4 linked regions of the Struthio camelus genome follow. The protein of the gene in region 1 interacts with the protein of each later gene in a biochemical or structural test. Links are inferred from orthologs where the notes say so. Each region holds a gene or a part of one and is shown on either strand. Other genes may lie near its edges. The genes, in order: PATJ, CLDN1, TJP3 and PKP4.

What was found.
Region 2: the proteins of PATJ (region 1) and CLDN1 form a complex in vitro, tested with the Homo sapiens proteins (2 studies listed by BioGRID and IntAct, with this or other methods). The link is inferred for Struthio camelus from reciprocal best matches to the Homo sapiens genes PATJ and CLDN1.
Region 3: the proteins of PATJ (region 1) and TJP3 form a complex in vitro, tested with the Homo sapiens proteins (2 studies listed by BioGRID and IntAct, with this or other methods). The link is inferred for Struthio camelus from reciprocal best matches to the Homo sapiens genes PATJ and TJP3.
Region 4: the proteins of PATJ (region 1) and PKP4 interact in a test that uses a peptide from one of them, tested with the Homo sapiens proteins (2 studies listed by IntAct, with this or other methods). The link is inferred for Struthio camelus from reciprocal best matches to the Homo sapiens genes PATJ and PKP4.

Annotation. Positions count from the first base shown.
Region 1 is NC_090949.1:35,181,830-35,189,982, reverse strand, and holds the start of PATJ (inaD-like protein), read right to left. Parts: upstream 3,078-8,153; 5' UTR 2,914-3,077; intron 1-2,913. Other genes in the region: TM2D1 (TM2 domain-containing protein 1), read left to right, coding at 3,673-3,825, 4,904-4,973, 7,456-7,564.
Region 2 is NC_090950.1:19,952,193-19,960,562, forward strand, and holds the start of CLDN1 (claudin-1), read left to right. Parts: upstream 1-5,212; 5' UTR 5,213-5,388; coding exon 5,389-5,611; intron 5,612-8,370.
Region 3 is NC_090967.1:412,018-419,780, reverse strand, and holds the start of TJP3 (tight junction protein ZO-3), read right to left. Parts: upstream 3,483-7,763; 5' UTR 2,534-3,482; coding exon 2,307-2,533; intron 1,735-2,306; coding exon 1,620-1,734; intron 636-1,619; exon of another isoform or gene 288-635; intron 1-287. Other genes in the region: PIP5K1C (phosphatidylinositol 4-phosphate 5-kinase type-1 gamma), read left to right, coding at 4,141-4,240. UniProt on the Homo sapiens protein: TJP1, TJP2, and TJP3 are closely related scaffolding proteins that link tight junction (TJ) transmembrane proteins such as claudins, junctional adhesion molecules, and occludin to the actin cytoskeleton.
Region 4 is NC_090947.1:46,342,936-46,350,460, reverse strand, and holds the start of PKP4 (plakophilin-4), read right to left. Parts: upstream 3,380-7,525; 5' UTR 3,365-3,379; coding exon 3,358-3,364; intron 1-3,357. UniProt on the Homo sapiens protein: Plays a role as a regulator of Rho activity during cytokinesis. May play a role in junctional plaques.

The sequences.
Region 1 (8,153 bases):
GGGGGAGAACAACCGGGGGGAGGGGGGGGGACAGCTGGGCCCCCGGGGGGGACACAACCGGCCTCCCGGGGGGGGGGGACAACCGGGCTCCCCGGGGGTGGGGGGAGAACAACCGGGGGAGGGGGGGGGACAGCTGGGCCCCCGGGGGGGACACAACCGGCCTCCCCGGGGGTGGGGGGAGAACAACCGGGGGGAGGGGGGAGGGGGGGGACAGCTGGGCCCCCGGGGGGGACACAACCGGCCTCCCCGGAGGGGGGGGGAGAACAACCGGGCTCCGGGGGGAGGGGGGGGGACAGCTGGGCCCCCGGGGGGGACACAACCGGCCTCCCCGGGGGGGAAACAGCTGGGCTCTGGGGGGGGGGGGGAACAACCGGGCTCCAAAGGGGGACAGCCAGGCTCCCCGGGGGGGGGGTACAGCCGGGCTCTGGGGGGGGCAACCAGACTCCCGGGGGTACGCAGCCGGGCTCGCTGGGGCATGGCACAGCACTGCCCCGCGGCCCCTCTCCTCTGCTCCCCCCCCCCGCTGCCCTGAGCCGAGGGGAGGGGACCCCACCTTCAGCTGCAGACTAACTAAAAGCAGGGGTGAGCCTTGGCGGAGGATAACATCCAAAACGTGACCCGGGCAGATCCCACGGCCCAGAAAACGGATCGCGAAGAGAAGGGGCCCGATATTTACGTGCCAGGCGCCGCTTCGACGCGCTGGGGACGTGGAGCGCGGGAGGAGGCACCTGCCGGGCCAAGGCCCTGGGTGGAAGCTCGCGTTGTTCCTGGGAATGGGACATTCAGACCGGCCACGGGCGCTCTGCTGATCGCTGCCCTTTGAAAGGCAGCGCTTAAAAGCCAAGTGCATTTTCAGCTGATTCTACCATGCCAGTTTATTTCTAATTCACAGCCCTAAGCGAGATGCCTGTCGACACAGCTGCCCAACTCCCAACTGAAGGTGCAATGGAGGTTTAGAAAACCCAGGAAAGTTTTTAATTTGTATTTGTCTGCAATAAATCAGGGGCAAGCAGGAATTCAGGCTACCCACGTGCCGTACGTACACCAGAGGCTCCGAACACCGAATTTCCCGTGGAGGTAAGGCAGGCTTTGCTCAGCCTCATGAGCGCAGGCCCCTGCCGCCCCAGCTAGAGGGGAACGGCCCAAGCCCGAGCAGGACTGAGGCTTGGACGGAGCTAAGTAATTCAATACTACCCCGACAGAGCACCAAAACAAAAGCGCACAACTGTGTAAGGCAGCGTTCACCACAGCCGGTGCTGTTCCAAAGAGCCCTCTGAAATACACATCATCTATGGCTTAAGAGATACTGAGAGTTGACCAGGAAACCTTTCTGGTTAGTTTGAGTGAGGGAGTAGCGGTCTGCAGAGGCAACTCAAGAAGAAGCAATAAAAGCAAAGAGGTTTCTACCGCCAGCCTCAAAACACTGAACACCCAAAGCTGGCTGAGGTTAATGGGAACTGTGAGTGCTATGTATGTTAGTCTGCTTTCAGTTATGTATTTATTGAAAATATCAAATGAACCCCGCCAAAAATAATTTTATTCTGCTACTCTGTTTTACTAGCTCATTTCTAGCAGATCTCACACAGCCCTGCTAGTTACATAGGATAAGCACTGTAAGAGATTTGGAAACGAATTTCACCTCAGAAGTGATAATTGACTTTCCTTCCTCCCAATGCCCGTTTAGTCTGTTTTACGAAGCACCAGCAGTTGTACTAAAATACATAACATGCTAAGAACATACAGCATGTTGTCCTCCTTTTTTAAGGATTCAGATTCCAAACGCCTAACTTCCTGGTCCTTACCCTCAATTTTAATTAACAGAGTGCTTGTGAGAAGCAACAATTTTCTTGACAGTGATGAAGAGCAAGGCCTGTATTTATCCACCCGAGAGATGCGATGCAGACAAAAGAGCGAAGCACTCTTCTCATCAGCGTGCCTCAATCGTGATCTTGGAGGGCCGAGTTCATTATGAAGTGCACTCTGTCCCTGGCCTTTCTTTTCCAGCCGGCGAAAGGAATATCAATTTTGATTTGCATACTTTGTCAGCTGAACTCTAAGACTGCCAATTCAGTTTACACAAGTCTCTCAAAAGCTGTGAATATTTCACATCACTGGCTGAGAAAAGACATCTCTGACAGCCATCCATGTATTTTAGGTCTGCATTTTTACTGATTATCTGGGACTGTAGCAGACTGTTCGCTGCTACTGACAGACTCATGCATTTGTCACCATTCGCTCATGAAAATAATCAACTATAAAACCAAAAGATTTTCAGAAACGCCGAATAACAATGACACTCTCTTAAATACTATCTGGAAGTGGCTTTCAACCTTTTCCAGTTTCTAGGTCCCTAAGTGTTTTTCGGAAAGTGCTTCTAGAGCAGATTTGAAACCAGAAACAGTAGCGCTGCCTTTCCAGGTTCTGTTTCCACTCAAACGGTCTCTTCGTCTCATAAACAGCCAAGGATTCCCAGCAGTTTATAACTGAAAACTAATGCACTGAAAAACAAATACTAGATTAAAGAAAAAAAAACAATACTTAGAAAGACACTAGGTAAAATAACCTTAGAGAGAAGGTTGGCAATTCCTATAGAATACCTTACAAAGAGCAACTGTTAATGAACATCAAGCTTGTCTGCTCTGGGCACTTAGTACTCGTACTTTATTAACAAAGGTTACGGAAGCACGTTTCACCATCGGACCCATTTCAAGGTAGAAATATTCTTTTCATAGGGCCGCTGTGCGCCTGCAGCTAAGGAGCCCCCCCCACCACCACCACCCGGCCAGGTTTCGGGCCGGGGGCCGGAGGGGGGGGCTGCCCGCGGCGGCAGGCTGCCTGCAGGCCGCCTTGCTCAACCTCTTGCCTGCTTCAGTTCTGTTAAACGCTCTCCTGGACGACACACGCGGTACTTACGGGCACTTGCTACGTGTGGAGATTAGGTGGGACCTGACTGACAGTTATTACTTCGGTTTTTGGGGTTTTTTTGGGGGGGGGGAGGATGGGGGGAAGAGCGCTCATCTCTTTTCGCTGCCTTCGCGCAGCTCCCCTAGCCGAGCTCTCCTCCCGCCTCAGGGCCCGGGGCGGGGGCGAGCGGGGGCCGCCCCCGGTCCCGGGGAGGGCCGAGGCTCGCCCGCCGCTCGGCTCCAGGCAGCGGGCCGCCCCCGGGGCTGGGGCACTCGGCTCCCCGCCGTACCGGACCGGGACTCGCACACGGAGCGGCCGCAGCTCCGCGCCGCCGAGCGCCTTAACGCGCCCCCCGCCTCCTCCCCTCCTCCCCCACGCCGAAGCGACGCTCTTCGGGGCGGCCATTTTGAGTAAGGGCAGCTGCGGCGCCGTCGCGTAGCGGCTGGGCGCGGGCGGCGGCCATCTTTGTCCCGGGCACAAGCCCGTCCGCCGCGTAGACGCGCCATCTTGGCAAGGGGCAAGGTCTGCCTGCAACGCTGCCGAGAGTGCCTCAGGAGCCATGTTTGCTCAGGTCAAGAAGAGAAAAAAAAAGAAAAAAAAAGCCCAAACACGTCAAAAACCCGAGAACAACTATAAAAAAATCCCCCTCCGCCCTTCCCTGCGGGCAGCGCGGCCTGTCCCGCGGCGCGGCCCGCTCCTCCCCGCAGCGCCGCCGCCGCCGCCGCCGGGGGCAGGCGAGTCAGCTGACGGGAGCGGCTCGTTTCCATCATGGCCGCCCGGCCGGGGCGGCTGCCGGCGCGGAGAGGCGCGGCGGAGGCCCGGTTCCTGCTTCTCCTGTGGTTCGCGGGGGGTGCGACCGTGGAGGGAGCGGCGAGCCGGGAGGCGCCGCTCAAGTGCGACGAGCTGCGGTTGGGGCAATATCCTGAGCGCGGCCGGGGGCTGGGAGGCGGCGGCCGGGCCGGTTGCTATGGCGACGGGGCGGGGGGGCGCGGACCGCTCCGGCTGGAGCCGGTCCCCTCGGAGGAGAAGATGGAGGGGGGGTGGGGGGTCCTGCGCGTCTCTTGCTGCTCCTCAAAGGGCATAGACAGCCTCAGGAGCCCCCCCCCCCCGCCTCCCCCCCGGGGGATTTCGGCTAGGAAATGGAGCGGGGTGATTTTTTAAGCTTGATTTTTGGGGGTGGCGTGCGTCTCTTTGGGGTGTCTCTCGGATTTTCAGCGGTAAAACCCTGCGGGATGTGAGACAACCCCCCACTACCATCATCACCCTTCTTATTTTTCAGGACACTGTAGGGCGATGCAATGACTTTGCACAAATCGAGCCTGTCTGCCTCGGCAGCCCACGTTAACGGGTGTCAGGGGCTGCCGGCTCTGCCAGGGCGCGTCAGGCCTCGCCGAGAAAGCCTGGGCTGCTAGCAGGCGGCAGCTGTCGGCGTAGCTGCGCCTCAAAGGTGCCCGGAGAGCAAACCCTGGAAAAGTTAACTTCGTCCTCCGCTTTGCTTGGCCGCAGGACTTGAGACCTCTGCAAGTTGGTCGCTGCTCAGGTTTATTCTAGTCCCGAATCCTGGCCATTCGCGTGCCCGTTTTCAGATGTTCGCTTTTGAGTTTTGGATGTTATTGGAGATCTAATTTTCTCAACCAAATAACCTCAATTTAAATGCGCTCTGATAGCGAGATAAGGGAAGAAGACGAGATTAGTTGTGCTGTCTTGCAGCCTTTGAATGCAGCGGCCAGGACTGATAAATGTAGTAGTGCTTTCAGGTAGTGCTGACTGCAGCACTAATTAAATGTGAAGCTTATGCAATGTATTTATGTATTAAATTGATTTGGCAGATTTGCTGTATAGTAACGTGCTGTTCGTATTTTGGGGGGCGGGTAGAAAGGAATACTGACATCAAGGTACATCTTAAATCCTCAGGGGTTAAAGAGGGTGGAATAAATTAACACTAAGCCTGTAGTAGTGGTTGATATGAAAAATGTTTTCCTCAATTAGCTGAACATATATTTGTGATGATCCTAAAATAGACAATAGTACGCAGGAACCAATGAACTGTACAAATCACACTGCATATGGTAAGGATTTTCAACCTCTGACATACATTGACGGTAACAACGTTTTCCAAGAATGTGTTCAGTTTATGCATTTGTATATCTGCTAGATGATCTTTTTAAAACGTGGAATCAGTAATGTCATTGCATTATTCTGATAGCCTAAAACACTTGGGCAGATTGGATGCTTTACTAAAAATGAAGAAATGCATTGTCTTTCATTAGTATAATTGTAAGTGAGGTTTTTGGTAAATCTCTGCAATTTCTGTTATATCCTCTCAGCTCCATCCTTCGCTACAGTGATTAAAACAACTTATTTCTGTCATACTAGATTTTGCATATGCTTATTAGAAGAAGAATTGGCATGAGGCATAAGAGCCTCAAAATCTTCCTTTTTAATTTCTTTTAGGGAAAAATGGTGTATGTCATTATCAGGAGTTTGTGGTGTCATTAGACTCTTGTTTTGAAAGCCCTTGCATATGTTTTGATTTTGAAGTCTGATGCTCATTTGAGTACAGCAGATGAATACTTAAATTGGTCACTTGGTTTACTACCTGTTTTTAGCTTGTCTGATGTTCTCAGGCTTTGAAATAAATGGTCCTTGCAGGTTAGCTAATAGTATAACACTTTTGCTTTACGTGCACTCAAAATACACATCTATGCTTATCATCTCCCTTATTTCACTTTCTATAAACAATGAATAATTTTATTCACTCAGATGCTCGAGGTAGTCAAGCTTTTTCAAATACCTTTCAGAGTAATATCCAAAATGGGTCCTCCTTTAAGTTACTGAGTCCTTTACCTTATCTGAACCTGAGAAAAAACTTCTTCACTGTGAGGGTGACAGAGCATTGGAACAGGTTGCCCAGAGAGGTAGTGGAGTCTCCTTCCCTGGAGATATTCAAAACCCGTCTGGATGTGATCCTGGGCAATATGCTCTAGAGGACGCTGCTTGAGCAGAAGGGTTGGACTAGATGATCTCCAGAGGTCCCTTCCAACCTCAACCATTCTGTGATTCTGTGATCTTGGACATCTTGTCCCTGATTGTAAGCAGTCAGTCAGAGTATTCTGTAGCTGGAGATGCTTCACAACTCAATTTGTTAACTGTGTCTAACTAATTAGTGGATGTTTGTATTTAATGCAGTATGCTTTTGAACAGGAGATAAGCTTCAGAGTGAGGAAAGCTGCTTAATTGCTTATTCTTTTCTATGTCAATGTAGAGTTTTTATGCATATAACTGTCTTTAAATGGTCCCCACAAGTATCTGAACCTTCCTTTTCAGTACTATCTAAGTAATAAAAAGTTAATCTAGATCACAGTTGAAGAACAGCAATCTCTAAACGTTTTTCTAGGTCCCATCACCAAAGCAAATATGAGTTTAATTCCAAGCATCTGAGTAATCTCATTTGGTAGCACGTTTGGAGGCTTACTGGCATAATATTGACAGGAAAAGACGTGGCCTTTACTCTCTGAATACGTTTTGACTGCTGTGGGTTTCTTCTAAATAACATAATCTTTTGCTATCTTTCCTTATTTTTTTTTCTAAGACAGAATGCGGCTTTTTATAATCCTCTCAGATTAGGCACATTAAGCAGTAACATCCATGTAGTCTAGGTACGGCTCATGTTTTTCAGGTGTTACTGATACTGACTAGCTGATACTAAATTTTTTTTTTTGTCCCTATGCAGTATGGACTGATATTTAAAAAGAAAGCCAACCAAATCCATTTGTAGTCTTCCTGTAAGTGTTACTGGAAAATCAGGAAAGAAATATTGAACATGGCTGGAAGTTAGATAGAACTCAAAAGTACTGAAAGGCAGTAATAGAAAGCTAGTAATAGAAAGTGGAGGAAGGATTGGATTTTTGCCCTTTGAAACAATTTCAACATTGGATGGTGATTAATGTTCTGGTAATATATTGCAGACTTCTGGCAGATGTCACTTTGTTCTGTGATTTCCACTTTGGTTCTTTTATGAGTCAAGCCGTAGATTAGAATTACAGAATAGCTTAGGTGAGAAGAGACCCCAGGAAGTCCTATCATCCAACAACCTTCTGCTCAGAGCAGTGTCAGCACTGCATTCACGTGAGGTTGCTTCAGTCTTTGTTCAGTCAGATCTTGAAAACCTCCAAGGATGGAGATTGCACCACCTCTTTGGGCAGCTTGTTCCAATGCTCGACTCTTCTCAAGAGGAAAATGTTTTCTGTGTATCCAGTTCAGACCCTTCATTGATTCAGAATGGAACAAAACCAGAAATTGCAACAGAATTAGGGGAGCAATTAGACTTGTATATTTTGCTTAGTATGTATCATGCAAAAAGACAAGTTAGTCGTAGGTCTGGCTTTAAACAATTCAGTCACACAAGCCCTTGTATACAATGTTGCGTATCGTGACCGTTGCACAGTATAACTTCATTTGTTTACTTCACTATGTCATATGGCTTGTTAGAAAAATGCCACAATCCCAGACTGATTTTTGCGTAAATTTGAATAATTTTTCTGTCCTCAGTTCAATGTCTGCCAGCACCAAATATTACCTGTAAAGATCACCTTGGCATAGAAAAAGTCTTTACTGGAAATGAAGTTGGATTTTACAAGCCTATTGCATGTCGAAACGTGTAAGTACATTACTGTGTTTTGTAATAGTATGCCTTTATTTTCACACTGAAGTTTTTCTAAAATAGTATGATGTGTTGGCAGAAGAAAAAAGAGAAATGAGATAGAACACAGCACAGATGTTGCACAGTACTTAATGTTCTAATAAACATTATAAATAGTTCAATGATAACATATACATGTTTATACGTAAATCTGTCTCTATGTTGGACACTTGTTTGTTTGTTTAATTATGTTTGTGTCTTTGCTTTACCTTAGTACTTACCCTACTGAAGATTTGCCACGAATGCTAAGGTTCCTTTTTCACATATGCTGCAAATCAGCACAGCTGCTTAAAGGTGCAGTCTGAGGACCCCTCTCCATCCCTTCACCTGGCATACCCCATTGTATACTGAATCAGGGCAAACTCATCTGGGTTTGAACCCACTGGGAGCAGTTCCCCAGTGTGAGCTGCGGTACAGTCACATCAGTGCTTGTGCCAGCACAAGGGTGAGGGCAACACCAGCGTAAGAGAGAGCGGATGAGCAGGAGGGCTGGGCTGGGCTGGGCTGCTCTGTTCAGCACCACTGCTGCTGGTTCATGCCAGTTTGA
Region 2 (8,370 bases), on another chromosome or scaffold:
TCTGGTTTGGACACATTTTCACACAATCCCTGGCTAATCCCAAGGACCATTTGCAAGAGTCTCCCATCCTTGTAACAGCTGACTAAAGTCAAAACAGCAGTGTTGCCTGCAAAACAATGCTCAAAGCCAAAGGTTTAGCAGGAGTAGTTTTCCTGGATGGATGGGAGAGTGAGAAAGAAAAAGAGAGGAGAAAAGTCAGTTGGGAGATATACAGCAAAGATATTTTAAGTCCTTTCTAGGCAATGCAAACCAGAACTAAATCAATGTGGTCCATCCAGTCTGCCCTCTTTTCCTGGTATAGAACTTTTAGGACATCAAATGAACTAGCAAGATGTAGGGTTCAGAAGAAACAAAATGCCATACTTTTCCATGAAATGCAAAGTTGATTTGTAAAAGTCCCTGCTGCAGAACACTGCAGGTGCCAGAAGTTTCAAAAAACAGACAGACAAATTTATGGAGAAAAAATCCAATGAGGAAAATTGAATTAAAAAGCACCATCACTGGCTCAGGATGTCCCTTAGACATGGATCAGGGCAGACCACAAACCCATTCTGGGAAAGCATCACTATGTTTGTGTTATTCCTTGGCGCCACTCTTGGCTGCCATCGGACACAGCAGGATGGGCTGTTGTATGGCCATAGCCATTCTCATTTTCTGGTCCAGAGGTGGAGCTTGTGTCTTTGCTTTGAAACCCGGCTCATGCAACTGTGCCTGCTTTGTGCACCTAGTCATTGTAGCTGGACAGAGGAGCAGACAGGGGTGTCCTTTCTTGATTCCAGCAGATCCCCTGTAGTAGACTCTCCATTACTGGCGATCTTCAAATCAGGAAGAGATGTTTCCCTCTAATGTATCTAACGCAAGGATGAATTCAGGGCAGCCGCAGGGCCAGTATTACGGAATGCCAGGACAGAGGCTCACACATGAGCACGTGTTCTCTGAACACAGGCATTGCACAGTGACACCTTCCTGAAGAAATGCCCGAGAGAAAAGGAAAACAAGCTGCTCTCCTGCAAGTCCTGGCAGGTGTTAAAGCTTGTTTTTGCCAGAAGAGCAAACAGGTATCGCTAACTACCCAAAGAGCACAGATCCCTGCTTAGCATGAAGGTGAGGTTGCTGCTCTGACTAACAACACCCAAAGGGGCAACATGACCAGGCTGTTAAACATTTGCTTAGTGTAGACAGATGCAGCAACGACTGTAACACATAAGGAAAATCTCTGTGAACTATTAGAGGAGTTTATTTACCTCAACGCTATAAAATCAGAGTTTGATTCCAATAACTGTCTATATGCTTGTGCTTTAGCATATTCTCACTTTATCCTGCTTTTGTAAAGGAAGAAAAGAGGAGGACTAATATGCTTAGCTAAGAACAGGCCAGTCACTAAAGACTGTCAGTATTGGGGTCCCTCCAGCCTGGGGAATACAGAAGAGATTGCTACATCTTGGACAAAAACAGGTCTTTCAGCTGAGACTAATGATTTGAAGCAACGGTATTTTCCCCAAAAGTCAGGTAGAAAAATTTGGCACTAGCACATAAAAACTCTAAGGGACTTCCAGAGAAGAAAGAACCCCAGCAGAGGAGAAAAGGCAGTGATTATTGCATAAAGAGGGGTTTGTTTTGCCCAATAAACTAGTGAAGATCACTGGAAGCAAACAGAGAAGATATTTCAAGTGTCAAAGAAAAGAAGGAACCCCAAAAGAGAAGACTTGTTGGTCACAGGAATGCTGTAAAATTACCAACAAATTCCAGAGCACTGAGAACACTGAAGAGTGATGAAGGAAAAAAAGCAGAGCTTCAATGTTTTATCTTGATCTGTAAATTCTTTGTGATGTCCACAGAAAGAATTGCTCAGTTTTGAAGTCTTTCATGAAACATGAGAGTAATAAGCATCAAGTTTAAACTGTCACTGGAAAGCAAAATGTAGATGGGGTGTTCATAATGCTGGGACTCCGACATGGAGTGTTTTTACTGATTATCATGGTGTTCAGTGGTCGAAGAAACATGAGCAATGGACTACAAGCTCTTATTTCCACAAGGAAGGAAGCAGACCTGTGCCCAGAAACAGGCTACATAGGCACAGAGAAGAGCCTGTGTTGCAGCCAACTTACACTATGGGAAGTCCAAGAGCACTTGGATATATCTCAGCATGCCAGTGGGGCATGCAGTTCAGCACAGGTTAATGCATGTCATATTCTACATTTATTCCTTCACAAGTCCTCATCACTACAGTAGCTCGAGAGCATGCACCCAGAAGTGAAAGTACTCTCGGTTGTCAGCCCAGCATGAGCTCTGGCACCAGTGAAACCTTGCTGCACATCAAGCCCTTCTAGGAAGGATCCAAAGTTGATGTGTATGATACCTGCAAAATTAGCCCCAGACAAATGGGATTTTGAGTGGGCTGGCTCAGGGTGAGTTCACACAGCCATTTCTCCAAGTGGGAGCGCAGTAGAAGTACTGTGCTCTGGAGCCTTCCTAAGGCCAGTACATGAGCACAGCCTTACATCTACTTTGATGCAAGGCCAGCCTGCCGTGCTTACAGCCCATTAACACTGCCTGGTGCAGCACTCATTGGGGACGGAGGAGCGATGGGACTGCTGAACAGCCCCTCAGTAACACAGCATCCATCCCCAGGCAGCTGCAGACTCCAATCCCACGGAAAGAACCCCTTGCAGAATAAGGCTGTCTTTAGTCAAAGCTCTCTGACCTTCTGAAAGGGGAAGAAACTGAAGATGTGTGTTGTCTTAGTATATGCCCAAGCAGTCAGATTCACACCACCAGGACATATCCCAAGACTAACTTTTCCCAAGGCCAAAGTGAGCCTGGGTTGCGGTGCCTCCCAGAGCCAGCAGCACGGACAGAATGCTACATCATGGAGCTCGTGCATACGTGTATGCTACATGCATCTCCTGCTCTCAAGCCCACTCTTGATCTAGCAGCACAGATTCCTTCCCAGTACAAGTGCAGCCAGATTGCTGCCACCCAGGACCCCTCCCCTTGCTTTCCTAAAAGGTTCACTAGGAAATTCAAGTCCTTCCCACACAAAACAGCTGTTACCCTTCCTTTGGCTGCTCAGGGCCTGCAGCCAAAGGATCTAAACCTTCTAAAAGTATCTTTGGGACTTGCACACCTGAAGCCAGGTTCAGAGCTGATCTCACACTGCAGAAGTCAGCAAGGAGCTGCCTGCTCATCTAGGGGGTGGTGTAAGGGTCAGGAGCGGGGGTGAGTCAGTTCATGCTAAAGCACCTGGGAACACAGTCTACTCCTTCGCAGATAGACATTATTGGACCAATATGATTGGTCACACATCAATGGTCAAATGCAGACACTCCTAACCCTGCTCTCGTTGGGTTAGAATGGGTTTTTGTCATCCCTCCTCTTCAGGCAGGGAAGGCTTTTCCCAGGGATCAACCCTAATAGCCAGCATCACTCTGGTTTTTCTACCCCTTGTACAGAAATCTTGGTGAATATGCACAGTGATGCATCTGTTTCATCTCTGCTTTTCCAGAGAAAGCTTTGCTTCTTTCGTCTTCTTCAGCTTCCCAAACCTGTAAAACTGCGGCACACAGATACCAAGTAAAGCACCGTTTCTACAGTTGCAGCCCCATAGCTACCTAATGTCTTTACTTGCAAGTGAGAAAAAATATGCATTCACCAGGGACATAACTGGAAGTATTTGCTACCATGTAACTAGCAAAGATTGATCTCCTCATTAGCAGTGCAGATGTCCAGAAGTTGGGGATCAGCAGCTGAAAGTGTTTCCAGAGCAAACTAGACTTGCTCTGTCTCTCTCAGTGTGTTTAGATTGCAGTTGGTTTTCTCCCCTTTGACACCCCCCCCCCCATCATTGCACAGTACCGGTTAGGTAATCACAAGTCTATTCATTTGCCTGTTGGCAAATCTCAGGAAGCAGTTCCAGCAAAACCCCCTAAGTCATCAGAATGCAATAAACCACAGTGTCAAAACAATACAACCCCATCCCCACCTTCAGCAAGGCCTTTATCAGTAATTACCGCCTGGAATTACACCAGACACCCACTGAATGTCCCCTCCATCTACTTTGCAGTAGGAAAGGAAAGCAGCACCACCCCGGCCATGCCATGAGCTCCCTGGGCCCTCTGATGCAGACAGTATTTCCTCACTCCAGCTCTTCTGAGTCCAGATCTGTCAATGTTCAAATATTCAGATAGAAGAAAGGGAAACTGAAGTAACGGGACAGATACATGACTGAGAAGAAGAACAGCTCTCTTCCTGGTCTGTAACCAACCCTTTTATTCAATAAACTGGGGCAAGTCACTTGGCTCACTGAAGCATCCAAAATGCTCAATCTCTCCTTTAACAGAGACCCAGTAATGCTAAGAGGTGCAGCACATGGTCCTTATTAAAATGATAGCCTCGAAGTTTGGATTTATGGAAGCATTTGTACATGGATGATCAGTGTTTGCTCAGCAGCCTCTGAAACTCCTTTTAAATGCTAATAATTTCCCATTACTTCTGTATGGTTTCCTTCACAGGAGTTTATACCCAAGTGTGCTCCATGCTGGAGAAACCAGGCAGGGTGTGTGCCCAGTGGGAAAGGCCCCCTGCCCTAGCCGTGTGGTGGGGAAGGCCTCCCCTCCCTGCACTGCTGGAGGTAGGTCACACAGACACGAGCAGGACTGACACAATCTGGTTTCTACCTTTGCTGTTTGCTCCATTGGCACATGCAACGTTTCTTCACCAAAAAGGCCTGTTTATTGTCTGGCTGTTAAAGGACGGCAACAGGCAGCAAGACCCAAGGAACATAATTTCGGGTCCCTGCTCTCAGGCCCCTAGCCCTAGAAGTGGGGAGAACCCTGAGCACAACCAGAGGTGCCAAAGTGTCCAGAGATGCTAAAGCAGCGCCGGCGTGCCGTGGCAGGCACCTGCGGCCAGTCCCCTGAGCCGCTTCCCCACGGGCACTGCTGGGAAGAGGGTGCCGCCGAGCGCTGTGGGTCCTGGCGAAACCCTGAAGGATGGGGGGCACTCTCTGCCCCGCGGGAAGCGGAGAACATTTTGCTGCCCTTCTCCCCCCTCCCCCGACGCTGCAGCCGCCACCGCTGGCAGTCCCGGAAGAAGCGGGGGGTGGGGGTGGGGGGCCGCCGCGCCCCGGCTCCCGTGGTCCCCGGCCCCGCCGCACCGCGGGGGCGGCCCGGGCCCGGCCCGTCGGGGGAGCCCCGCGGGGCGGGGCGGGGGCGCGGCCGCCAGGGGGCGCCCTTTGCGCGGCCTTAAAAGGGGCGCGGGGCGGTGCGCGGCTGCCACTGCGCTGCGCGGAGTTGGTCGCGCTGCCCTGCTCGCTCCGCATCGCCCCTCCGCCGGCGGCGGCGCCCCCCGCGCTCCGCCACCCCCGCCGCGGCCCGGCCCCGTGCAGCCATGGCCAGCGGAGGCCTGCAGCTCCTGGGCTTCGTGCTGGCCTTCCTGGGCTGGATAGGCATCATCATCAGCACGGCCATGCCCCAGTGGAAGATGGCATCCTACGCGGGAGACAACATAGTCACTGCCCAAGCGCTCTACGAGGGGCTCTGGATGTCGTGCGCCATGCAGAGCACGGGGCAGATCCAGTGCAAGGTGTACGACTCGCTGCTCAAGCTGGAGAGTAAGTCGAGGCAGGGGCGAGGGGTGCCCGTTCCGTCCGGGTCACCCTGCTGCCCATTGCGGCTCAGGCTGGGGGTGTCCGTCCTGTCGGGACTTGGACGGGGCTCTGGTCCCGTCGCAACGGGACTGGGTGTATGGGGGTTTGGGTGCCGATCCCCGTCAGAGAGTCTTCTGCACCTCCCATGGTGCCTATTCTGTTGGGGGTACAGGGGGGGGTTGGTCGAACTGGGGTGTCTGTCCCGTTGGGGTTGGGTGTGCTGGAGAGCCGTCCTGCAGGCTTCTGGTCTGCCCTGGCAGCTGTGGGTGAGCTGGGACCCGGTCCTGCAAAGTGATGAGACAGCAACGGTGACTGTTGCTCCCCAGTGACATCTCCACGGAGGGCAGATCCTGTCCCTAGTGCTGTTAAGTGAAGTGCTGTGATTGTGAGCAAGTGCTTGTAGGTGTAGAAAATGTCTTTCTCTGGGTATGGTTTAGCAGTAAAGTAATATTCATAAAACGGTGCTGAAATTTTTCTAGCAAGGATCCTTTTCTTCTGCATTTGTCTATTTTGATCTTACTGTTAGTCTTGTGTAATTTTATTCTCTTAGTAGATCACTGTTACCCCTTTGGGGCTTTTCAGCAAAGGGTTGGCAGGTGAGCTGGATTCTAGCCCAGGTAAGGATAGCTGGTAGTTTTTAGGCAAATCATTACTTCAGGGTAGTTTGTCTTTACATCAGCCTGAGATGGCAAAAGGTGTCTCTGGCATGTGAGAACTGTCACTTGCCCTGCTGGGGTACCACTCTGGGTGGTTACTCTGAGCTGCAACCCTAGTGAAGGTTGTTTCTATCCTGTTTGTCTGCTTTTCTGCACTGCTCTCTTGGTAGACTCTCACAAGGTCTGAGTGCTGAAACAGCTTTTCAGACTATGACTACCCTGACACTCAGTTAAACAAACAAACAAAAAACTTAGGCCTGTCCCAATATCTTTCCCTACATCCCAGGTCTCATAAGACTATGCCAGAGAGGTGAATGTGTCCTGGGACTCCTTCATCCTTCTCTAGCCATAATTAATAAAAGAATAATTGCCCTTTTGGTCACCTTCTCTTTTTCTAAAGGAATGAGCATGCAGTTTCCCGTAAACTGTAAAGAGGGACCATTGGGAGTATCCCCAAGTTAGAGATTGCCACCATCCCTTCCTGTGTGTCACGCTAGCGAAGCTGAACACCCTGAGCCCCACCTTCCTTGCTGTTCCATGTCAGTCGTGCTCCTTGCTCCCCTGCCTTGAACACCCATAGGCTTTGCAGCTGGTGTAGGTGCAAATTACTCCCTTCAGGAGTGTGATGCACTCACTTAGCACTAACAGCGTGCGAGGCTGTGGGTAATCAGGGCTGGGCTAAGCACACAGGGTGTTTTGAGTAGTAATTATGTATAAGACCAGTTTCAAGCCTTTTATCTCTGCATTGGGGGGTGGGTGGGAGGATACAGCAGGGCTGAAGAATCTCCAGCGACCCATGGCTCACTTGTGAAAGGTAAATTTGCCTGAGGGGCTCTCTGGCTGTAGCCTATTGTTGTGTAAATTAAACCTGCCTGCAGAATCAAATGCAAAGCTCTGCCGGACAAATTCCTAAAAACCTGACAAAAGACCTCCCGACCTACCCCATTCATCTCTAAGGGCTAAATAACAGCTGCTCCCCTCACCTTTGTTCTGCAAACAGGCCCTTCCAAGGCCACAGGGGAGTTGTGAAGTGCTGGTGACCGAAGTTGAGCTATTAGCGGCCTTGTATCCTGTTACAGAGCCCCAAGCCCTATGGAGCATATTTGCCTGGAAATTTTCAGGCAGCCCAAGAAACACGAGTATCTCTGTGGATGTCTTTTTCCTTGAAGTCAGCAAGGCGTGGCTAAAAAACACCTTTTTCTTTTGGTACTCCAGCTTTCTCAGGTTGTGCCCTTCCCACTCACAAGCAGGGCATGTCTACTGACATAGTATCTTCTCTGACTGTTTTCCCTGGCATACTTCAGGGTCCTACAGGCAGTGAGAAGCTTGGATAATGACAACCAGCATTGCTGTTTTGGTTGGTGGGAGGCAATCACCCAATTCAGCAGCCACACCCTGGAATGGATGCAGCTGTGCAATAAGAAGAGTTTTCATGTCATTTATGTCACAGGGAAGACAGTACAACAGAAACTTCTAAACTGCGATGCTTTCCCTGCCAAGGTTACACATGCCCTAACTGCTCCAGGCCACGTGGCAGGGTCTCAGGCAGTGATGGGAGAAGCTCAGATCCTGCAATTTTACCTCCATAGAGTGGGCTGAGTGTCCTCACACCTACAGTAGTTTCAAGTCATGGGAATGATGGAAAGTTTTGCCAGGAAGCTTTTGGATGTCTGGTAGCTATTGCCATTTCTTCAGATGCATCCATGTTTGGCTGCTTTGACTGATGCTGCACATCAGAGACTGGGCTGGCATAAGCTGACATGCCCTGTTAGTGACTGAGGGGCCTTCAGCTTCCAGCATGGCCATGTTGCTGGAGTGAGACCATGCTGATGTTCTTCCAGCAGCTGCATTCAGCTAAGGGCTTAAGCTGGCAAAATGCAGCCTTCCTATTATCCGAATAGGAGCACGTCCCAGACTGACATATGTGAAAAGCTGTGCATGGCTGCATGTAGGCGTAAGAGGTGCAAAAGCCACCCTTGCAACAAGATTTTGTTACACAGCCTCAGTGTTGTTTTTGTCGCCCTCTGCAATCAACTGTGGAGCTAGCTCAGCTTTGTGCTCCTCTAA
Region 3 (7,763 bases), on another chromosome or scaffold:
TGCTTATGGGGCTCCTGGACACCCAAGGGCTACAAAGCAGGAGCTGCAGGTCTAAATGGACCCTGGCCGTGGGACAGCCAGAGCCTCCACCCACCCCTGGGTGACAGCTCATCCGCTGTGCTGGAGTCGACCCACTGCCGCCAGACGGGGCCAGGCCTTATCTGCCAGGCACAGCACAGCCCCACACCATGCACGGCCGCGCACCAGCGCCACGCGCCGACCCCAGCAGCCCCAACCAGCTCCCGCTGCGATCCCATCACCAGGGCATCACAAATCAGCGCACGCACCCGTTTCCGCTGCCTCCCAGGGCTCTCCGTGCCCCTCACTGCGGCTGGTGAGGACGGTGGCAGTCCCGGGGCAAAGGATGGCTGGGGACAGCGCTGGGACAGCCAGCAGCTCCTGTCTCACCAGCCAGAGCAGGCAGCGCCGGTCATGCCTGCAAGTCCCAGTCCTGCCCCCGGTTTCACCTGGGGCCACAACGCCGGGTCTGCTCAGAGCCAAAGGCCGCGGCCGGCAGCCAGAGGAGCCGGCTCGGCCGGTTTCCCAACAGAAACCAGCCTGCACCGAAATGGCCCCACCAGGAGAGGCAGTATCTGGGCCGTGCTGGTCACAGCCCAGCCTGACTCACCCAGCACGCCGTCTCTCTCCGACACGATCCCTGCATGCAGCCCGCTCCACCCCACGCACACGCCATGGCCGGCACCTCCCGGCCAAAAAAGCCCCAGGCTGTGCCAGGGCAAGTCCTCCCACTGTGAGGCCCCGATTCGGGGCTTTGTCCAGCCCGGGGTGACACCGCCAGCAACGCACCCTTGCCCGCTGGCACTCCCCAGGGTGCAGCATCGCTGCGTTGTAGGTGACATGCCAGCACACAGCAGGTGAGGGGGTTATTTATTGTAGAGGGACGCAGGCAGCTCACCCCATCCTTGCCCCATGGCGATCCCTACCACACATATGCTGTTCCCCAAGCCCCACAAAGGGGGTCCTCGGCCTCTGGGACTATGCGGGTCAGTAGCAAGCGTTCCCCACATCTCAGCTCAGGTAGTTCCGCTGCAAGTGAAACCGCTCGTCCCCCATGCGGTCCCAGCCACGCAGGAATGGAATCACTGGTTTCTCTAACAGTTGCCCACCATGTCCACTAACCCAACCCCACCTGCAACCCACAAGCTGATCCTGACCTCCCCCGGGGCCTCTCCGCTCTGGAAGGGGTCCCATGAAGGTCTGACCCAGCTGGGGTGTAAATCAGTAGAACAGAGGCACATCCTCCAGCCCTTGACGTGTGGAGCTGCGTCAGCAGGGACCCAGCTCCAGCCCTGTATCCCCAAGCCCAGGGTGAGCCAGGCGGCTGACAGAGACACTGCTCCTTTTCAAAGTCACCCCCAAAAGGGCTCTGCTCCTTGCCCTGCTCAAGTCCCCCAGATATTTCCCACAGCTCAGTCCCTGCAATCGGGGCAGGGCTCCAGGAGGGTCCCAGAGCCACCCTGTCCCTCCTGAGGCTGGTGGGGAAGGATGAACCACAGAGAACTCCCCAGGCGAAAGCAGGCTGGGTCCCCGTCCCTGTCCCTATCTGCAAACCGCAAACAGGGGCAGGCAGAGCCCATGGGACAGGATTAGGCACTCACCAAGTCACGACTCAGCCCTGCCGGGATCGGACCAGGAAGGAGCCAAGCTCCCAGGCTGGTGACAGCGGTTTCACTCCAGGGTGCTTTGCGTAACCCTTTGCGGGCCAGACGCTGCCTGCCAAGAGGGAAAGAGCAGGAGGAAAGGAGCCCCCTAGGCAGCTTCACAGGCATGGAGGGAGTCACGGGTGACTGCCCCCGTTCCTCCCAGTGCTGGCAGCTCGGCCACGGCGCTCACTCCCCACCCGGGCCAGGCAGCATTGCCATAGCCCCTCTTGATCCCGACAGGGGCGAGCTGTACAGGACACTGGGGACTGCAGTATCGTGGGTGCAGCAGGTCCTTCTCCCATCCTGGCCTGGCCCTCTCGAAGGAGGTGGTGGGTCTCTGTGCCACTTGGACGCTCCAAATGTCCAGATCCTCCCAGTGGAGCCTCCTTGGTGGCAGCACCAAGTTCCTGGCAGTCCCTGGAGACCAAATGGCTTCACCTGGCCACCCAAGAGGGGGATCAGACCAGTTCAGGGGGACAGAGTTAGTGACCAGCTGGTAGGTCACCTGGGACACCCAGTCCTGGGGGCCTGTGGGGAAAAAGTGACCATTCCCTCCCTGCTGATGGAGGCTGCCTTCACCCTTATTCCCCCTTCCCTGTAGCTCCCCCTTCCCTTTCACTCTGCCACCCTGCCCTGCCCCACCTGAGTACCAGCTCAAAGCCATTCCTCTTCATCCTGGGTCGGTTTCCTGCAGCTTTGGTGACTGAAATCAGGTTCGTGCATTGGTTCTTGGTCCGGCCTGCTGCTTCTGGCCGTGGTCTGTATCGAGACCACAGAGGATAATCAAAGCCACGTGCATGGGTGCTGTGGGGGGACCAGTTCCTCCTGAATCCCCCAGGAACCAGCTTCCATCCCAGGGCCAGAGACATGGACACAGCCCTGTTCAGGTCGTGGAGCCACCAATTTTACCACAGCTCGTCAAATCAGCATAAAACCGCTCCTTCTTTCAGAAGCACCATGCAAACACCAAGGAGGATGGCGCAGCTCCAGTCCAGCCAGATGCTGCTCCCCAGACCCAGGCAAGGAAGCACACAGGTCCCAGCCTCCTCATCCACGCTGCAGGGCATCTGCTCCCCTCCCTCGCAGGGGACACAGCCGGGATCACCTCCAGGGCCCCGGGCAGGATGGCGACGCTGCAGACTGCTGAGCAGCCTCATTAATGTTCATCACCACCTTACTCGGCTGCGTTAAGTGCTGTCCTGGGAGTGCACTTTACTACCAAGCTGTTTCCCATCCAGGCTGCTCCTTTGTGAGGCAGAGCTTGGCGCAGGACACAGCTCCTGTGCTTTGTCTCTGTCTCCTGAGCCCTCAGGCCAATCTGTGTCACTGGTGTTACAGGGTCCCCACAAATCTCAGCCACACCCCTCGGGGAACCACAGGGTTTGCTGGGGACGGGGATGCAATTATTTTAAAGCAGATGGTGAAAACACTCCCCTCTCTCCCAGAGCAAAGGGAGGAGAGCTGCCAGCAGACACACCGATGTGCTCCTCTCCGGGATTCCCGAAGCCTGTGACAGGGACGTGCTGCTCCACCGGTCCCACTTCGCGCCCAGGGGACCGGCGCCTGATGGCGTTAAGGGACCGATCAGCCGAACAGGCAGTCGGCGGAGCAGGAGCTCTGAGCCGACCTGCTCTCCTCCGCAGCCCTCGAGGCCGAGCTGCCAAGCTCCCGGCCGGTCGGGGCTCCTCCATCCCCGCCGCGCTTCGGCAGAGCCCGGCCCGGGTCCTGCGGGTTCGCCTGCAGCTCCCACCGCAAGGCGCCAGCGAGGAAGGCGAGACGGCGGGCCCCTTCTCAGCGCCTAAGGGCACGGCGAGGCCGGCCCGGCCAGAGCCGCGCACGAGGCCGCGTGCCGGACGTGCCGGGCGTGCCGGCGCCGAGCGCCCCGCTGCCCCGGGGTCGCGCAGGCCTGCGAGGCGCCGCCGAGGGCCCCCAGCCCGGCGGGTGCTCTGCCGCTAGATGGCGCCGCGGAGCCGCCGCCGGGCCTCGGCGGGGAGGCCGGCCCGGGCCCCGGGAGGCGGCGGGCACCGGGACCTGCCCCCCCGCCACCGCGGCGCCCCGCGCGCTGCCATGGCAACCGGCACGCTCCGCCCCCGCGAGCCTCGCGGCTCCGCGGTGCCTCCTGCCCCCTAGAGCGGACAGAGGAGAGGTTGCTCTCTCCCCCGCTCTCTGACTCGCGAGGCCCCGTTTCTCTCTCGGCGCCTTCCAGTCACAACGGGGTCCCGCGCCGGCGCCCCGCGGGTTACTGCGACATCCAGCCCTACGCCGCGCTTGATTCCGACGGAAGCCTCTCCCGCCATTTCCGCTCTGCGGAGCGCTGGGTGTGTCTAGCCGCGGTACCTCCGGCGCTCTATGGTATCTGCGGCCCGGCGCGGTTCCCAGTCTCCTCAGCGGCGGCGGCGGCCGGTGGCGGCCGGAGCCGGGGAGCGAGCGCGGCGGCGGCCGGGCGGGCCCGCCCCGCCTGCCCTTCTCGGCGGCTATGGAGCTGGAGGTGCCGGAGGAGGCGGAGGGCTCGGCCGTTGAGGGCGCTGGTGCCATCACCCCGGAGGCTGGCGGGGGGGGACTGGACACGGCAGGAGGTAAACGGCTGCGGGGCCGCCCGGCGCGGGGGTTGGGGAAGCACCGCCCGGGCTCGGCACCCGCTGCCCGGCGCCCGCGGGACGGCGCCGCCCGGCCGGGCCCCGGCGTGTCCCTCCTCCGGTGCGTCGTCGGCGCCCGGCAGCCGCGCCCGGCCCGGCCTGGCCCTGGCGTGTCCCCCCGGGGCCCTGAGTGGTACCGCCCGCCGGGCCCCGCGGGTCGTCCCCCCCCCCCCGCACCCGGAGTGGATCTGCCCAGCAGGGCCCCCCTGGAGTGCGTCCCCCCGGCCGGCCGGCCCGCTGTGGCGGCGCCCCCCCCTCCTGTCCCCCCCCCCCCCCCGGCCGGCCGGCCCGCTGTGGCGGCGCCCCCCCCTCCTGTCCCCCCCCCCCCCCCGGCCGGCCGGCCCGCTGTGGCGGCGCCCCCCCCTCCTGTCCCCCCCCCCCCCGGCCGGCCGGCCCGCTGTGGCGGTGCCCCCCCCATCCTGTTCCCCCCCCCCGGCCGGCCGGCCCGCTGTGGCGGTGCCCCCCCCCCCTCCTGTTCCCCCCCCCGGCCGGCCGGCCCGCTGTGGCGGTGCCCCCCCCTCCTGTTCCCCCCCCCCGGCCGGCCCGCTGTGGCGGTGCCCCCCCCTCCTGTTCCCCCCCCCGGCCGGCCCGCTGTGGCGGTGCCCCCCCCTCCTGTTCCCCCCCCCGGCCGGCCCGCTGTGGCGGTGCCCCCCCCATCCTGTTCCCCCCCCCGGCCGGCCGGCCCGCTGTGGCGGTGCCCCCCCCTCCTGTTCCCCCCCCCCGGCCGGCCCGCTGTGGCAGCGCCCCCCCCTCCTGTTCCCCCCCCCCGGCCGGCCCGCTGTGGCAGCGCCCCCCCCTCCTGTTCCCCCCCCCCGGCCGGCCCGCTGTGGCGGTGCCCCCCCCCCGGTGGCCTCAGGCCCGGGCTGTTTCCTGGCCCCGCGCGACCAGGGCTGCCCTGTGCTGGCTCCCGGGGGAGGCCCTGCCTACGGGTGCTGCCCGGGGGGCCCTGGGGCCTGTGGCAGGGCAAGGTGCAGGGCTGCCTTCTGTCCCCATGCTTGCACCGGGGCCCGGGAGCCAGCGCTTGCTGGGGCAGGATGGCTGTGACCCCCTCAGCGTCTCCCGAGATCCACCCGCTCGCCCGGATCTCATTGGGAAAGGTGGTGCCAAGAGAGCAGCAGCACCGATGGCTCCAGGGCTTCTCCCCGCTCCGACCACTGTCCGTGCTGCCATGCTGGTGCCAGCTCCCTCCCGCCACACAGATCTGTCCGCAGCCCGGCAGATCCGGGGTGGTGCCTGCCTGTGCAATGCCCTGGCAGTGCTGGGAGCTGGTTGCCCCCGTGCTGGAGCACTGACTTCCAAAGGTCGTCAAGGGGTGGGCATCCCGGGTTCCCACCCTCGAAGCTGTCTTCCTGCAGGGAGCGTATTTTCTCTGGGAATTGCTCCCGGGATATTCCCCGTTTTCCTGGTGAAAGTGTGAGCCTGGGAGGGTGGTGGTTGTCCAGGGGCAGGTAGAGGATGCTTGGGAGGCCGTTCCTTGCTCTAACGCCTGCAGAAGTTACCGAGCCCCTGCCAGCGCTTCCTCCCACATGGCCCTGCTCAGCCCCAGGGGTCCTCTCCAGTAGCAAGAGGGTGGCATCGCTGCCGCGTCAGGCTTCGTCTCGGCAGCGGCGAGATCAGGAAGGCCATTTGTAAGAGAGAGTGAGCGAGCCTGAAAACAAGCCTCATGATATATTGCTGGCAGTATTAAAAGAATTTGGGTTTCTCGGTTGGCAAGATCAGATCTGTGGGGCTGTGCAAGTGCACCTGCCTCTGCCTTTGCTGGCTAATTTATAGTTCATTAACAACCTCAAAATTGCTAGCTTTGGGTTTGTGCGTGATGATACAGCCCTGCTCTGTTGTTAGGTTGACGAGTTTCATTGTGGGCCTAATTCAAAGCTCCCAAGCACCTGTCTGAGCGTGAAGTTTATTCAGAGCATTTCACGAGATAGCTGGGTTTTGCTTGTGTTGTGACAGTGGTCTCGTTGTCTTTGGGGCTTTAAATTAGAATCGTTAGATTTTCAAAAACCCAACAAATTACAGTGGAAAGCGTGATTATTTCAGAGATGTCATCTGCTGCATTTGGGGAGAGCCGGATGCAACCTATAATTTCTTTGAAAGGTGCTGAGATTTAGACAAGCAGCGAGCTGTCCCCGGGCTTTCTGGTTCAGTTGCTCAGTGCTGCAAGGAAAATGGAGGGGACAGCTGCATCCGGCTGGCTTTTCCCAAGGCTGCTCACGGTGCTCCCCCACCCACCGTTCAGACCTCTTTTCCGGGAGTGTGCTCTGAGTGCTGTGTTGTATGGCCAGCAGACTTGCAGTTTGCAGTGCTAAGGGAAGGGAGTGGAAAGAGAGCTTCTTGCCAATGAGCAATAAAAATATTGTTTCTGCTTCTGATCTCTTTGTTACCTTTCTAGTTTTGTGGGAGTAGAGGGTTCTTGTTTGATGCTCAGGACAAGTTAAAGTGGCTGTGGAGACTGTTGCTCAGACGGGCTTAAAGCAATGAGTATGTATTTTCTTCTCTTTGCAAGTAAATCTGGATTCAGGGAACCTGTAGGCTGTCTTACATGGATAGTAAAAAGATGAAATGGAGCCAATAATCTCACTGATGCTTTGATTTTTTTTTTGAGTCAAGTTGCTTACTCCTCAGTTATGTAGTGTCCAAATTGTGTCACTTGGCCCCAGCTGTGCTTGCAACTGGAGCTCCCAGGAGGGCCAGGGACAACATGCAAGACAACTAATGAGTATTTTCTGAAAGAAAACAAAACCTGATGCAACTAGAGGTGTTCCTCGGTGAATTGTGTGTGAAGGCACAGCTACAGCTTCGTGGGGAGGTCTGTGCTGCAGTTCGGAGGTCAGGACTGCCCGCTGACAGAGTGCGTTTATGCACTCTGAGGTCTTTGTTGCAGCAGATGGGAATAATACATGCCAAAATGATATGCCCAGGAGCAGAGGGGATTTGTGCTGAACTTCATCCTGTTTTGTTGGCTGCTTCTAAGCTGACAGCTCTCCTAAGTTTTGTTTGTTGTGGCTAGTGCACACAGTGCTGATGTCTTTGATGCTATTTGGAGTAGCGGTGAAGGCCGTGGTGGTGGTGAAGTGCTCATGATCCACCTACACTGGTGCCCAGTGCTCACCTTAATGCTTGTGCCATTGATAACGAATTACTAGCCTAGCTAAACATCTGCTTTCTGGCTCTTTGCCAAAGAGCGAGGACGACTTTATGTTGCACTCTTGCTAAATGAACCTGACAGGGTTAATCCAGTCTGGCCAGGTCAGCAAAGACCTTCCGAAGAGCATGCAGGAAAATGCCACGGTGTAAACATCAAGAAAAGAAGAGAGCCAGTTAGTCTGTTACAGGAGTAAAATGGAAGTTCCTGAGTGGAGGAGAGGAAAGTCTGGGAAACCTCCCCAACAGTGGGATGATGTAAGGCCTGGAGAGTCTTCCTAAGGGAGCTTTTGGAGGTCTCCTAATGGTTTTTTGGGGA
Region 4 (7,525 bases), on another chromosome or scaffold:
ATAGTACACCATATATGACCAAGCAAAATGTATTACAGCTGAAGACAGTAGGATTGTTAGGGTCCTGAAAGCAGTGCCATGGGGTGAGATAGAGGGGTCTGACAGCCCTAAGAGAATCCACACCTGATGAAAGCAGATTTTAGCCAATAAAAACACAACCAAAGGCTTCTGAAAAGTCCATGCTATAAACACCAAGAATTATATTTCCAATAAAAAAACTCCAACGTAGTCAGAACCTAAGGAGATGGAGACAGAAGATCTGCTACAGCCTTTCATCTAAAACTCTGACTGCATGAGGGGACAGTCACTCGAAGGAAAAAAAACAAGCCAGCATCACGAGAACTTCACAACACTGAAACAGTGAGACACAGTAGCAGTCTACTGGAAACGTTCAAGAGAGCCCAAATTAACAGCCCAGCAGGCAGTGAAACACTTCCTGACACACCGGACTTCATTCTAGCTTGTGCATTCGCAGACCTAAACTTCGAAACCTCCTTCTGTTCCCTTTCAGTATTACACAGGCCCTGCACGGATTTAAGTGTTCATTAATAGTTAAAGTAGGCTACACTCTTTTCACTTGACACGGAGATACTTACCTAACAGAAATAATTCTGTCTTGAATTCCAGGAGAATCAACTGCCTTGTAATTGTTATAGCCTTCTTTCACCCAAGTAAGTTATTTATAACGCCTATATATTCCCCTTTGACTGCGCAGAGTCTATAACACCACTGACACTCTCAAGGCAGTGCCGCCTAATTTTAAACACTGGCAGGAAACAAAACATTTCTGGGTGAGATAGCAATTCTGCTCATCTTCCAAGAATCTTTGATTTTTTGCTTTGTCACTCTTCATATTTGAGTAACACTCAAAGACGTGTATCTTTATTCTGAAGTACAGCTGACATCCTCCCTCTTCATTTTACTGAAGTTGTCACACTTGACTTCAGCAATGAAATTCATTTTCTCTAGAAGTACTAGAGCTGAAACATTTCATTATCGTATTTCAATTGGCAAATATTTTGTTCTTCCAGTGCCCATGCCTGATCAAATAAATAAATAAATAAATAGCATCAAAAACCCTAAACAAATTCGAATTTTTATTTCTTGCTGGTCAGAAAAAGGTCTACTTTAACTTAGATTTCTGCCTGTCTGAAGAAACAGAATTTAAGACGGGTGTTTAGAATTACTGGATAGACCCCATATGAACTCAGCTATTCATGCCTTAATAGGCAGATACACGTTTTCCTAAACAGGCTCGAGTAAGAATTAAATTTGTTCTTATAACATCCTCCTTACAGTCATCCTACAGTCTTTTTTGTTTTTTGGGTTTTTTTTTTTTAATATATAAAATGAAGGCCTGTATAACTGAACAACCTGACAGCATTGCTACCCAGAGGATGAACGAAGATCAGTGATAATGAGCAAGACTCGTAAAACAAAAAGGCCAAACAAGGAACATTAATATATTATGCAGAATTAAAACAAAGCGGGGAAGGAAGAGTAATGGAATTTAGTTAGTTCCAGCACAATTTACTTATCTTTTTCCCAATTCCATAGCTAGAAATAGGATGGGAAATAGACTGCATTGCTTCTATACGACTTCATTCACATTGCAGTGTTTGTATGACTTTGTTCAACTTTACTTAAATACAACAGAAAGTAATAACTCTGTGTTAATGCAGCCCACAGAATATTTGTCCATAATAATCTTATTTCAGATAGTGGGATAACAGGAAATGCATTTGGCTTCAAGATTGATCCACTAAAGAGTCTTCATTGCAATGGCTTCAAAATAAGCACAAAAACATCCAGTATAAAAGGAAATTCGGATGGAAAGAAGTCATTCTTTTCATTGTACAAAATCCAAGTTTATGCAAGATAATCTCTGAAAAACTATACACAACATACAGGGATGCATGCATTCCTGTATTCCAGCTCCGTTAATTCTCAGATCGTGTCTGCTCATTAGAAATACCAAGTTCTCATTATGGCCAGAGAGATTTCAAGAAACATATTTTACTGTTCTACTGCTTTGTAAAACCCATTTCAGCATACCTGACTCATAACTGGTTCTTAAAATGACAGGATTTGAGAGAAGAGTTTACAGATTTTAAGTTCTCCACTATAGCAAAGAATGAACAGGAACGGAAGGATTTAACTGTATCGAGGTAGGTCTTTTGGTGGATGTTGCAGATCTGTGAATGATGTAGGGTTTTTTTGTTTGTTTGTTTTTTTTAAGTATAGCTCAAAAGCATAACCTGAGATGCTTTTAAACTTTGAGGAGAGATTATCAGCAGACTTGAGGAGAACAGTAAATATTTGCCAGTATTTTCTGTAGATATCAGTCTTGAATCAAAATAATCAATATATTTGTAAAGTGTTTAAATCATTTTCCAGAAAATTGTTAAACACTTCATATTATAGTATATATCTGAGAAAATTCTTAGCACCAATTCTGAATTTTGAAATTCTCTATTTAAAACTAGAAGATAAAAGAACAGAAGCAGTGACAATCTAGCTCTATATTGGCCTGCATTTACATTTTCAAGCTAGATGCAAGTGTGCAGGAAAAGGAAAGTAAGGCCTTTCAATTTGAAGTCTGTAGTCTGAAATACTCCATACTAATTCGAAAAAAGTGGCTTTCTACTCCTCTCTACTACTGAGACTCACTCAAATGGTTTCATGAAATCACAGTAAGTTGGATCAGAGCACACCAAGCCACAAAAGAGAGTTAGTTTTCAAACCAACCAGTTTATGGCAGAGACCACCTCTTTTGGCAACTGCGTACGTTTGCTGAAATAAACCTGGTTTACACAGCACTTACACTGTTCAGAGGATACCTATTGCCTCCACTACCACAGCAGCAACTCCTAGCCCTCCTCCACTTGGGGAGTAAAAACTCCCAGATCTCCCATTCTGCAGCAAAGCAGCGTGGTTTTTGCCAACCCTAGCAGAGATGGTGGGGCAGAGCCACCACCGCCTAGTTTGCCAGTTCTGACACTGCCATGGGTCCTCTAAGCCCACAGTGAAGTTGTAGGCTGCAAAAATGGGTGATAACCTCTTGTGTCTGATCAAAAGGTCAAACAGCTGCAAAGCAAAAAGTTCAGTGAACTCATTTGACACTATGCTCACTTTTTTTTTGTTCTTTTGGTTGGCTGGTTGGTTGGTTGTTTTGGGAGAGGGAAGGAGGAGGATAATTTTCTGAACCAAAGCATCTTGCATCCATACAATCACTGATGGAAGGAAGGAATGAGAACATACAATGGAGGAGTAAGGGAAAAATAAGACAAATCACTAAACTGGGTGTAAGAAATAATGCTTTAATTCTCCTTGTTCTTGCTAGTTTCTATTCCTCACCTTTCATTGCTGCTCCTGTTACACTCTCAGTGATATTCAACAGTCTCCCCAGAGTTTAGTAATTTCTCTCCTTGTGGTGTGGGCAGGAGAACTCAGACCTTTCTTGCTGTCTTCCAGACAGCAAGAATGGTCCACAGCTTGCATTCTTTCATATTCCTCTTGCTCCACTTACAGAGACGGTTCACCAAATTTTCTCCTTCCCTGAGTTCCCTGTTTTGGAGTCTCACAGGGCTGACCTGAAGCAGTTTTCTCAGGTAGCAGAAGCCCCCAATTAGTTGCAGCTAAAGAGGTAATATAACTCTTATGAACACTGTCAACCAGGATAGGATAGACTGTATATACTGAATAAGAGAAACATGAGAAAAACAATGAGCAATGTCTCATCACTAAAAATCCTCGTATTTATCTAGCCACAAGATTAACTCAAGCAACAAAAGCAAATCACTGAAAAGCAGAGCTGTACTCATTAGTACAGCAGAAGAAAGCTCCAATAAACTAAACCTAACTTTTGCAGGGACATTGATGTGTTATTTATTATACAATTAAGTTGTTCATTTAAATTCATATGCTTAAGCAACAAGGCACGTTTCAGTGCTTGGTCAAAGATTCTTCTGTTTTCATCCTTCACAGCATATGTAAAAGTTGAAAACAAAACAAGACTTACTACATTTGTGCAGTTTTTAGATGAAAACCTAATTAAAATTTATCTGACTTTATGAGTTAGTTCACAGACATGTCAGTACACTTCTAGTTATGAGTAGCTCCTATTAGCTCCAACCTGCTATGAGAGTTGCATCCAGTGTTGCTTGCCTACAAACTAGACAGTGATTCATATTCTCAAGCTTGGTGCAACTGCATAATTGAACTAAAATAAATTCCATATTACATTTATCAGCCAATTGTTATTTGTTTAGATGAAAAGACAGCAGATGACAATTTATTCACTTGCAAAGAAAACACAAGCATTTAGAAATGGATTATGTGAAAGATGATTCAAACATTTACATGAAAAATAGTTTTAAAATTTCCTGATGTAGTAAGGGCCAAGGTACTACAAATATCACACTATAGGCTAACCATTCCATTAAAATACAACTTTTCTTTATGGAGATCATTAGTGCAGAAGTTTTATACATACCATACCATATAGTGCTTTCTGGAAATTTACTGTGGTATACAAGCTGCTGGGAATCAAGTGTTATTGTAAGATGAGTGTAAAACAAAGAACATGTTCCTGGACTGAATTATTTGATGAAAACAGGGAAGGAATGGACTTCCATAACGACAGCATAAAAAACGACTGCACAGTGGCGCAAGCTGAGTTCCTCAGCACCAAAAAAATGATCTAAATGTAACAGATGCACTGCTTGAGAAATATGGGAGATGCATTTAACTCTCTTACTAGTCTCCTCCTCATTCCTTTTCCTTTTAATTTTTTTTTAATATATATGTGTATATACATGTGGGTATGTATATATAATAGCACATTGAAGTTCAAAAGGCTTCTGGTGCTATATGCTTTTTAAAATGTTAAAAACAATTACCCTAGTCTTTGGGTAAATTTATTTCTATTTTTTGTTACAGCTCATAAGAGGCGGCAGGCGTTTTTTTTGGCCTATGGCAACATACTTTTACTCCACTCTAGTGAGCAGGCAAGATTCTACATCCACAAAAATCCAGTTGTAACATGCTCACAGGATTAGTAATTTTATAGCTTTCAAACTAACCATTCAAAAGAAGAGATCAGACAGGTATAGCAAGAAGGCCACTTTGAATAAGCGCATACTTATGATCATAACCTCCAAGGCCTGAGGCACTGTTTGTAGCTCGCCTTAAAAAAGAAGGATCTTTGTCATCTGAAGGGTGTCTGGAGAGCATTCATGCTTCACAAACGCATGAAGTACCACAAGCCTCAAGTGCCATAAAGGATACATAACTGACAGCCCCCAAATATGAATCTTTTCCTTTGTACCATTCCAAATCTGTGTTTCTCTCTTCTGACTACATATTTTAATTCACTGCCATTAAAAAAAAAAGCCTCATTGGAGCACAGTGTTCAAAAACAAATCTGTAGACTAGTAAGCACATTTATAGCAATAAATGTTTGGTCTTATCACAGTACGGACTGAGAGGGAGAGAAAAGTATAGCAAGCATCACAAAGACTTTAATTTTCCAGACGATCAAGTGACAAAGACATTCATATCTATTATTTATCCTTTAGAAGTATTAATCCTTAGTTTGGTGTTAGAGTATTCTCAGTTAACTCAGGGTATGATGACATTCACAATGAATATCACATGACAAAATAATTTAAAAACTGTAACAGCTGAGTAACTGTAGTGAATGTATGCTAAGCAGAATGTATGCTTTTACCAGATACTCGTAATACAAGCTCCAAACTGATACTCCCATCTGAAAACTCTTATAAACAAGCAAACGGAGTTTGATTGAGAATAACTGTAAGCAAAGATAAAAATACTACCAAGCAGAACAATGACTGCAGGAGCTTTTCAATCTCTACTTATATTTACTCTCAGTCCTTTAAAATTGTTACTGCGGCACTACTCTATCCGTTATTGCTAGATACAATACACACTACCTGTAGATGCAGATATTTTTTTAACTGGTAGCATTATAAAACCAAACCTACTTTATATGCATTTATAAAAATGCACCTCAATTTTGTCATGTAGTATGTTGAAAAAAACGCATTATACAAACAATCTCCAAATTATTATATTTATAGATAAGAACAAATGCTTAAACGACAGCTAACGAGTTCTCTCTGGACCTCTGGACTGCAATTTGCTCCCCCCGTTTTGCCAGTGCAATGTTTGAGGGATGTGGGGTAAGCTGTATCACTGAAGTGGTCCCAAACTAGACACTACCAATCTCCTGCTGTGTCCTGCCTTAAAAAGTTACCTACACAGTACAGGTGAGAAATCCCAGGGGGGAAAAGGGAGGGGGAGAAAGGAATAACTGTTAGAAAGCTGTACTCAAAGCAGTAGTTCACTTGCATTGAAAGGAGGCATCGGGAGGGGTTCTGCCATGAGCTTAGCGTTCTCCAGCCATAGTTACCAGTGATAGCACAGACGAGAGGCAAGGCAATTAACATTTTGTAGAGGACAGCTGGGGGTTGGGGGATTATGGATACCTTTAGTGATAGGTTCAGAATTCAGAGGTCATGAACAATAGGAGAAAAGATCTAAAAATAGATGCCAAGCTCATAAGCAACTGGTCCTAACTCATACTGAACTTTGAAAATTGCTACTCCTATTTTAGGCCTTAAAAAGAGTTTACATGCCCAAAAGCTTGTCTGTTCATCCCAGCAATGCTCACTGATTTCCTGTTAGCTCAAGGTACAAATCCTGCCTTGCCTATATCCAAGCTCATCCGGGCTACAAATGCTACCACAAAGGAACAAATGCAATACAGAAGACAACCAGCAAGGCAGCACCTCTGTGGAAAGCAACATGAAGTTGCAAAAGTATGCTTTTCTGTGACAAAGAAAGAGACCTCATTTACCACTCCTGCTTATTTTACATTTCCCTCTACAAGAAATGCACAATCTTCCCAATCTCCTTAGCTGAAGAAGTATATCCAGCTTTGGGCTGGACATTTCAAAGCTGGATCAATTGAAAAGGTAGAGGAGAGCAACCAAAGCTCTGCAAAAATGTCTGTTGGACCTGCCTGTGCTTGGTTGTAACAAAGACTAAGGAAAAAAAGTGAGAACAGCTGAAATATTAAATCACTGCAGGAAAGTCAAAATACTAATAAAAGATGGTACTTAAAAGTTACTGTTATCTTCTTACCAAATATCAAACAATATTTATGATTATTAATACTTTCTTCTTCTAAATACGATACTGGGATGCTTTGCCCCCTTCCAAGTTCAAGGAAACTATTTTTTCAGGCTTTTTGATAACTACAGATAATAGAACAATTAAATGGTCACAGTTATGATTTAGATATGTCTGGCAATCAACACTGGCACACTTAAATCTATTTTTTTAAATCTATACTTAGATCTATGTCCCAACAGAAAAAGTTAAGACCTTAATCAGCTAGTTTTATTCTGCTTTAATTTAACATTCAAAATCAGGGTTTTGAAACAGATGACTACCAAAAGCAAATCCTCTCAATAACATGAAGTAGTTGAAAAAGTAC